Linked DNA regions of Sus scrofa. Each later gene encodes a partner of the first gene's protein in a complex. Links are inferred from orthologs where the notes say so. Each region holds a gene or a part of one and is shown on either strand. Other genes may lie near its edges.

The links.
Region 2: the proteins of KPNB1 (region 1) and PTHLH are in contact, whole or in part, in a crystal structure (PDB 1M5N), measured with the Homo sapiens proteins. The link is inferred for Sus scrofa from reciprocal best matches to the Homo sapiens genes KPNB1 and PTHLH. Residues at the interface, in NP_002256.2 of Homo sapiens: Val55, Tyr104, Pro106, Gln111, Glu152, Tyr156, Gln159, Asn196, Leu199, Asn200, Gln239, Glu274, Gln278, Glu281, Asp288, Ile295, Ser298, Glu299, Asp339, Asp340, Trp342, Val350, Met353, Glu395, Trp430, Arg434, Glu437, Asn469, Trp472; in NP_945316.1 of Homo sapiens: Tyr103, Thr105, Gln106, Glu107, Thr108, Asn109, Lys110, Val111, Glu112, Thr113, Tyr114, Lys120, Thr121, Pro122, Gly123, Lys124, Lys125, Lys126, Lys127, Lys129.

Annotation. Positions count from the first base shown.
Region 1 is NC_010454.4:23,918,778-23,922,598, forward strand, and holds part of KPNB1 (importin subunit beta-1), read left to right. Parts: coding exon 1-37; intron 38-3,042; coding exon 3,043-3,243; intron 3,244-3,821.
Region 2 is NC_010447.5:45,757,594-45,761,414, reverse strand, and holds part of PTHLH (parathyroid hormone-related protein precursor), read right to left. Parts: intron 3,500-3,821; coding exon 3,077-3,499; coding exon of another isoform or gene 3,073-3,076; intron 1-3,072. UniProt on the Homo sapiens protein: Neuroendocrine peptide which is a critical regulator of cellular and organ growth, development, migration, differentiation and survival and of epithelial calcium ion transport.

The DNA.
Region 1 (3,821 bases):
TATTGATGCTAATGCTCGACGGGAAGTCAAGAATTATGTAAGTAACTTTCATCTCCTTTTGGTCATGCTAGAGAAGGTCAGTTCTTTTTTTCATTTACGTGGGATAGAACTGACTGTAATAGATGTCTGCAATCTAAACTTAACTTGAAGATTTGATTTGTCTTCTTTCTCGAACTGTCTTTTCCCAAGTGATTCTTCCTTAGTTAACTATAACTAGTACCTAGCTCTTGTTGAACTGCTGCTGTGGGTAATTCTCATCGTTCCGTGACTCCACAGTGTGGAATCAGAAGGGGACGTGCATGGTCTCTCTTGGGCCTTTTAAGCCTGAAGAGTTTGTGAAATAGGATTGACACTAATCATGCTTTTATCTACTTAGCAAAGTATGAGAAACGTTTAGCTTTTTGTCAAAGTGTTTAAAGAGTGAGCCGATGGTTTTTGTGTGCAGTGGTTTTGTTTTGTTGTTTTGGGTTTTTTTTGTTTTTGTTTTTGGAGGAAATTTGAATGCCCCTTGTTCTTCTGCATTATGGAGTTCTTGTGGGAGTTCCTGCTGTGGCTCAGCAGGGTAAGAACCCGATTAGTATCCATGAGGGTGCAGGAAGGTTCCATCCCTGGCCTTGCTCGGTGGGTTAAGGATCCGGCATTGCCATAAGATGCGATATAGGTCGAAGATGCCACTCGGATCTGGCGTTGCTGTTGCTCTGGCTCCAATTTGATCAGCAGCTGTAGCTCCAATTTGACCCCTAGCCTGGGGACTTCCATATGCTGCAGGTGTGGTCCTTTAAAAAAAAAAAGAGTTCTTGGGACTTTCTTGTTGAATCAGAATTCTTGCTGCACAAAGAAGGATTCAGAATATATGGACAAATGCTTTTTAAAAAAAACAAGAAAACTTTGGTTCTTCAGTGGCCTGTCTTACATGGATAGTGCACAGAGGGTAGTAAGTCAGACACCTGCTCAGTCATCAATTGGTCCTTGGTATTGGAGGGGAAACCAGTCGGGGGATTCCTGCATGTGTACTTGAGCTGGTCATGCTTCTGCACATCATATTTGCTATTTCCTGCTTCTGGGTATCAGCAGTAGGTAAATTAGTGCCCCTTACGGCGGTAACTTCTCTTTCTAATTCTGTACCTCCTTCCCTCTCCAGTCTTGCATGGAGAGACTCATGACAGAAAACTAGGTTACAAAAGCCAACTTATTTTGAATCTTATTTGAAATATGTAGAGCTATTTCTATCCACATTGGGTCTACTTATGTAATAACATTTTAATCCTCCCCTCAGTAATTTGATATAAATGAAGTTTATTCACATCAGTCACTGGAACTCTTGATGCTTATTGTGCCCATTCGATTTCTCATTTTCCTCAGATTACACAATAGTAAATGAGAGAAGGCATGATGGGAGCTGTAATTGACTTTTGGGGGATGGGGCACATCACATCAGTTTTAACGCCCAAAATTTTTATTTTGAGTAGGAATTTGTATAGGTGTTCTTGAGCTTTCGTGCACGAAAAAAATAGCAATTATCCTGGGGTTTTTTCCCCTTTCATAGCACATCTGGTAATACATTCTTACTGCTGGTGGTTATTTCTTTTTTGAAATCTAGGTCTTAGACACAATTGAGAGCCAATTTCTTATTCCTCTTATTTCTGATAATTATATCATCAGCACCACTTCTAGTTTAAAAAAAACTTTCAGTACTCGGGAGTTAAATACTTGTAGTCTCTAAATCACCTTAAGTAATATTAATTAAGGGTCTTCTAGAAGCAATTCAAAGGAGAGGAGTTCCCACTGTTGCACAGTGGGTTAAGGATCTGACTGCAGTGGCTCAGGTTTCTGTGGAGGTTCAGGTTCGCTCCTTGGCCTGGGAACTTCCACGTGTTGCAGGTACAGCCAAAAACAAAAAAGGGAGAAAAGATAAAGATAGAATGGGATTCAGTATGTGTCCCATATCCGTTAGGAGATGGTGCAATAGAGAATGAAGGCACCCTGGACTTCTCATTTAGACCTGAATTAATACTTATTCAGCCCCTTTTTGTGCAGTTCATCTCTTTCCTGCCTCTTCCCCACCTCCAGGTGTCTCTGACATACAGTGGGGTTTTTTTTGTTTGTTTTTGTTTTTTGCTTTTTTGTGCTTTTTTAAAGGGCCACACCCGAGGCACATGGAAGTTCCCAGGCGACGGGTCGAATTGGAGCTATAGCCCCTGGCCTACACCACAGCCACACCAACACCAGATCCGAGCCATGTCGGCAGCCTGCCACAGCTCACGGCAGCACTCGATCCTTAACCCACTAAACAAGGCCAGGGATCAAACCTGTGTCCTCATGGATACTAGTCAGATTTGTTTCCTCTGAGCCATGACGGGAACTCCTGACTTAGAGTTTTTGTTAAAGTCTGGTCTAGCTTCGGTCCCCCTAAGAGAGCAAAACCTTCATTTAGAATCCATCAGAACTGTTACTGGGTAGGGCTGTTGGGAGTGAGCATGGGCAGGGATGATGATGTACCCTATAAGGGGGAAAGATGGGGAGTCCATCATTATTAGCTACAAAGCAGGATACTCAGTGACCTGACCCAGTCAGCAGAGCTGGCCTGAAAATCTGGCAGCTACTCTTTGTCCAGTGTTCATGCCAGGAACAGTTAACTGTTTGCCTTTTGAGTGATTCTTAGTGAGTTCATTGACTGAATTAGCTGATCATGGTAATGATTAACCTTGGGTCAGTTGTGGCTTCATTCTTTATCTGTACCTGTGCCTTTACTACTCTTCTGCCTTGTGTTGACCATAGAGGTGAGGTGTCTGGCTTTGGAGAATTCCATTTGGAAATAAGGGGGTGGTTGCTTTCATTTTCTAGCCTCTGGGGCAGCACAGATTGTGCTGCTGTTGGTACTGAGGCTGGCACTTTTCCTGACAGTAAGCCTATACTATGTATGCCTTTTCCTACTTGACTATAGAAAAATCAGGCTGATGTAAGAGGTGTGCCGGTAGGCAAAATGTGTTCCAGTAAGGAACAGTTGACATCTTTTGTCTTTTTGTGTGTGTCCATGCACAGGTTTTGCAGACTTTGGGCACAGAAACTTACCGGCCTAGTTCTGCCTCACAGTGTGTGGCAGGTATTGCTTGTGCAGAGATCCCAGTGAACCAGTGGCCAGAACTCATTCCTCAGCTGGTGGCCAATGTCACGAATCCCAACAGCACAGAACACATGAAAGAGTCGACATTGGAAGCTATTGGTTACATTTGCCAAGATATAGTAAGTGCTGTGTCTAACTTATCTGCTTCTGATTCCCTCTAGTTGTAACATGCGTGGTGTTAGGATTATGCTTTATCATCATGAACAAAAAAACCAAGCTATTGCAGTGTTTTAAGAGTAGAACTGCTTTATTTGTTAATTTAGACTTCTGTATTTGGACAGTTAGCCTATCCTTACATTGCTAATCATGCCCTAAAGCAGAGACTTGGGTCACAAACTCAAAATGGAAATCCCTGTTTGGAGAGGCATAAATATTTCCTCCTATCTTAGAGCATCCTTGACCTGATCCCTTTCTGAAGGTCCTCAGTGTACCATGGATGTTGTGTTACTTTTTCAGTTACTGTTTTACTGAAACATTTGCAAGCTTTTGCTATAGTTGGTTGAGCCACAACACAGAATGTTAAATGCAGCCCTCCTAGGACTGTTGCTGCTGCTGAGGTTACCACTCCATTTTGATGATAGAGATATGAATATCAGCAAAGAGGTCCACAGCACTTGACATGGACTTGGACTCCATAGATGTGCCCAGGTGTTGATCCTTGGTCCTCATGTCCTGAAACTTTACTTTAGTTGGTCCA
Region 2 (3,821 bases), on another chromosome or scaffold:
TTTTGAGGGCCGTATCTGCGGCATATGGAGGTTCCCAGGCTAGGGGTCTAATGGGACCTGTTGTTAGCCACAACCATAGCAATGTGGGATCTGAAATGTGTCTGTGGCCTACACCACAGCTCATGGCAACACCAGATCCTTAACCCACTGAGCGAGGACAGGGATCAAACCCAAAACCTCATGGTTCCTAGTCGGATTTGTTTCCACTGTGCCACGATGGGAACTCCCTCTAAATGGTATTCAGTGAATTAAGTTTAAGAATAACATAAGCAAAGGGGGACTGAATAGCCCTTTGGACAATTATTTCCTCAGAAGGAAAGAAAAAGGAAAGACATGAAAAGACCAAGGGAAAGATCTTTTCACCCTGCCCAGTTTGCTTGTTATCCTTCCTTCTGATTTTCCTTTAATAAAGGTGCATAGTGGAATGGCCAGGTAAAACATATACTATGACCTAAAAGTATATGTATATGTTCATTATACATGTGAGCATGACAACACTTTAGAGTCCTAGCTCTTTTGAGTACTGAAAAGCTTTTATTTTATTTCTACATCAATGTTTACCAAAGCTAATTATACGGTCTCAATTAGATGAGTCCTATTGTATTTGTACATTTCATTTGCAACATCAAACATTCCAAAATGTAACTTCTAAAATTTAAAGTTATGTATTTCCTACTGCTTGGTTCATGGGACAGTGAACAGTGTCAGCGTCTTTTAAGTGATACTGCTATTATATTTTATAACAAGATTCGTTTTTGCCATATGATCCGACCGCTCAGATCATCATATAATAATGCAAAGAGATTAAAGAAAGGACAGTAATAAAAGGTTGGTTTCTTATAAAATTTTAAAAGTTATTCTAAAAGATTCTTTTTGGAGTACAAAATTTGCATGGCCCATAAGTTTTCCTCAATACACTCCTGAAGTTCCCCACTCCTCCCTACACCTCTGTTGGGATGCACTGGGGGAAGGCCAACATCCGTCTGCCAAACAAACAGTGCTTGCCAGGCATGTCCCTCAGAACCAGGGAGCAGAAAGAACAAGCAGAAGTACCTACTTCTTTCAGTCCTAGGTCTGGATTTGATTAGGGCACTGCTTAATTTTTACTAAATCTACTTGAACTTAAGAGACAGCTTTGGGACAAGAATTGACGGAGTGGTGATTTTCAATTCTACAGACACTTAAGAACATTGCAAATTTTAAATGAATAGAATTCATTAAAAATATTTATACTTCTGTTTTAATAACATATATTTATGTATGTTATTTGTAACATATATATATATACACACACACATACATATATTTTTATCCTATATACACAGGATAAAAAAGGTTCTGGCGATAAAGCCCTTGTATTAGTTATAAATATGTATGATTAGGATCATATCTTACAATACACTGAATATGAGCATTAAGCTAAGATTTATAAGGTTTGTTACCCCTTATAAATCCATTAGATATTTGCAAGGTCATTTACCCTGCTAAAGATTTTCTAGTGCCACTGTCTATTGATTCCTGAAGCTATACTACTTAGCCAACATAAATTATCATTTTATATATTATTTAATGATGGGTTTTGTTAACTTAAAGAGGGATATGATGTTAAATAGGTTCAAAACCCCCTTGAAATATCACTCCATAATCCTCTCTCTACCAGTCAGAGGAGAGGATTGGAGAAGTAAGAGGAGACTCTTTAAATAACGAGATCACTAGCTGCATATGAGGCATTCTTGTGCTGTTTTCCTCTTTCTTTCAACCCCCACAGAAAAGCTGTACTGAGAAGTGAAAGACAAAAAAGATCCTATCAGTGGAAATGCAGGGGTAAAGAGCACCGCTAGCAGGGCTCTGGCCTAAGTGTTAAGAAATGCAGTAAATTGTAGGTCTGGGGACTGCTACCCCAGTGCTCAGGTCTGCTCAGTTCCTTTAACTGTGGAATGCCTTCATTTTCTATTTTATGAAGTGAGGTTAATATTTGGCCCCCTTTTTTTTGCCTCACAGAAACATATATACTTAGATAGATAGATGGGTGGATGGATGGTACAACCAGAATGAAATCTAAAAGCACCAAAACAATAGGTTGCAATTTACTGAGTGTTTACTTTATGACAAGCATCTAACCCACGTGGGCTCACTGAATCTTCACCCAACCCCATGAGGTTGGTACAAGTAATGTCTTCATTTCACACAGAGAAAGGTGAGTCTTCAAGAGACTGAGTAAATTGCCCAAAGTTGTGAACTTGGAGGAGTTTAGACTCAAGACTTGAACCTAAGGTTTCTGGTTCCAAAGCCTATGAATGTAAGCATCTGTGAGCTAAGGATAAGTAAGCCACAGAGATGCGGTTTTGTTATTCCTACTACAATACTTCTACTTGCCAGTGGAAAAACAGATACATGGGAAAAACTTACACCTTCCCAAGTCTATACTTAAAAAATTTTCAGAAATCATGATTTTGGTTTCATGAACTGGTAGAAACCTGAGTTAAATTTAACTAACTATGTTTAAAGTGTGTGTTTCCATTTTTTAATTTATTTAATTGAAAATTAATTTTAATTTTCAATTAAATAAATTTAATAAAATAAAATATGTGAACAGCTCAGAATAATTTACGTAAGTTTTTTTTTCTGTAATGTTTGTAGATCATATCAAAGCCTTCGGTGTTCTTGAAGTAAAAAGGAAAGAAAAAAACGTCATAAAGTTTTGGTGTGACATGGTGTGAGGTGGGGTAATAAACATACTTCGCTAACAAATGGTGAAGGTGCACAAGCTTCTAAAGCTTGAGTGAAAAATGAAAGGAGTTAGTAGTGTCCTAGAGGGCTGGCCTTGGGGTTTGATGGTGGAGAGAGAAGTGGGGGTTTATTACACCCCGGTGTGTGTTGAGGAGGGTCCAGGTAGATATAGCTTTAAGGCAGGCAATATTCTCAGCCGTCTTGGTTTTCTAAGTGTTTCAATTGTGGGATTGACAGAGGAAGGAAGGAAGGGAATTCCAGGTTTGTGCAAACCAGACAGAATGGAGGTTCCACAGCCCACCTGGGGGGCACCTAGGAGGGGCTCTGGGCCTCGGAAACCTGTTACCTTGAATTGAGCTCCAGTGAGGTCTCCGAGTCATCAGACACGTGGTCCACTTCCAGCCCACTCCCGACCATGCTGCAGTTCAGCCAGGCCGATCGAGTTCGCCGTTTCTTCTTTTCCTGCTCCTTGCGTTTCCCAGGTTTGCCTTTCTTTTTCTTGCCCGGTGTCTTCAGTGGCTGCTCTTTGTACGTCTCCACCTTGTTGGTTTCCTGAGTCAGGTATCTGCCCTCATCGTCAGACCCAAATCGGACAGGGTGGTTCTTGGTGTTGGGAGCAGGCTTGGAGTTGGGGGAAACCTCCGAGGTAGCTCTGATTTCAGCTGTGTGGATTTCTGCGATCAGGTGGTGAAGGAAGAATCGTCGCCGTAAATCTTGGATGGACTTCCCCTTGTCATGGAGGAGCTGGTGTTCAGACACGGCTCTTTTGCTTTAAGGGGAAAAGAGCAGGAGGGGGAGGAAACAATGACATTTTAGCAGCTGGAAGAGCCCAGAAGGACAGGCTCCAGGAGAGCCCATTAGCTGTCTGGTTGTCAGATACAGGGCACAAGCAGGGAGAGGTGCTAGCTGGCTGAGCAGGGAAGGGGCAAGAGGGGGAAGGAATAGCAGGCCATTAGGAGGCTTTGGCCTGGAGCCCCAGTTGTGCACCTTGCTAGATCTGTGACTTTGGCGTAAACATGTACATTTTTGGGTCTGGGGGGTCCCATCTCTTTAAGAGGAAAGGATGAGATTCAGTAATTCCTATGCTCTCA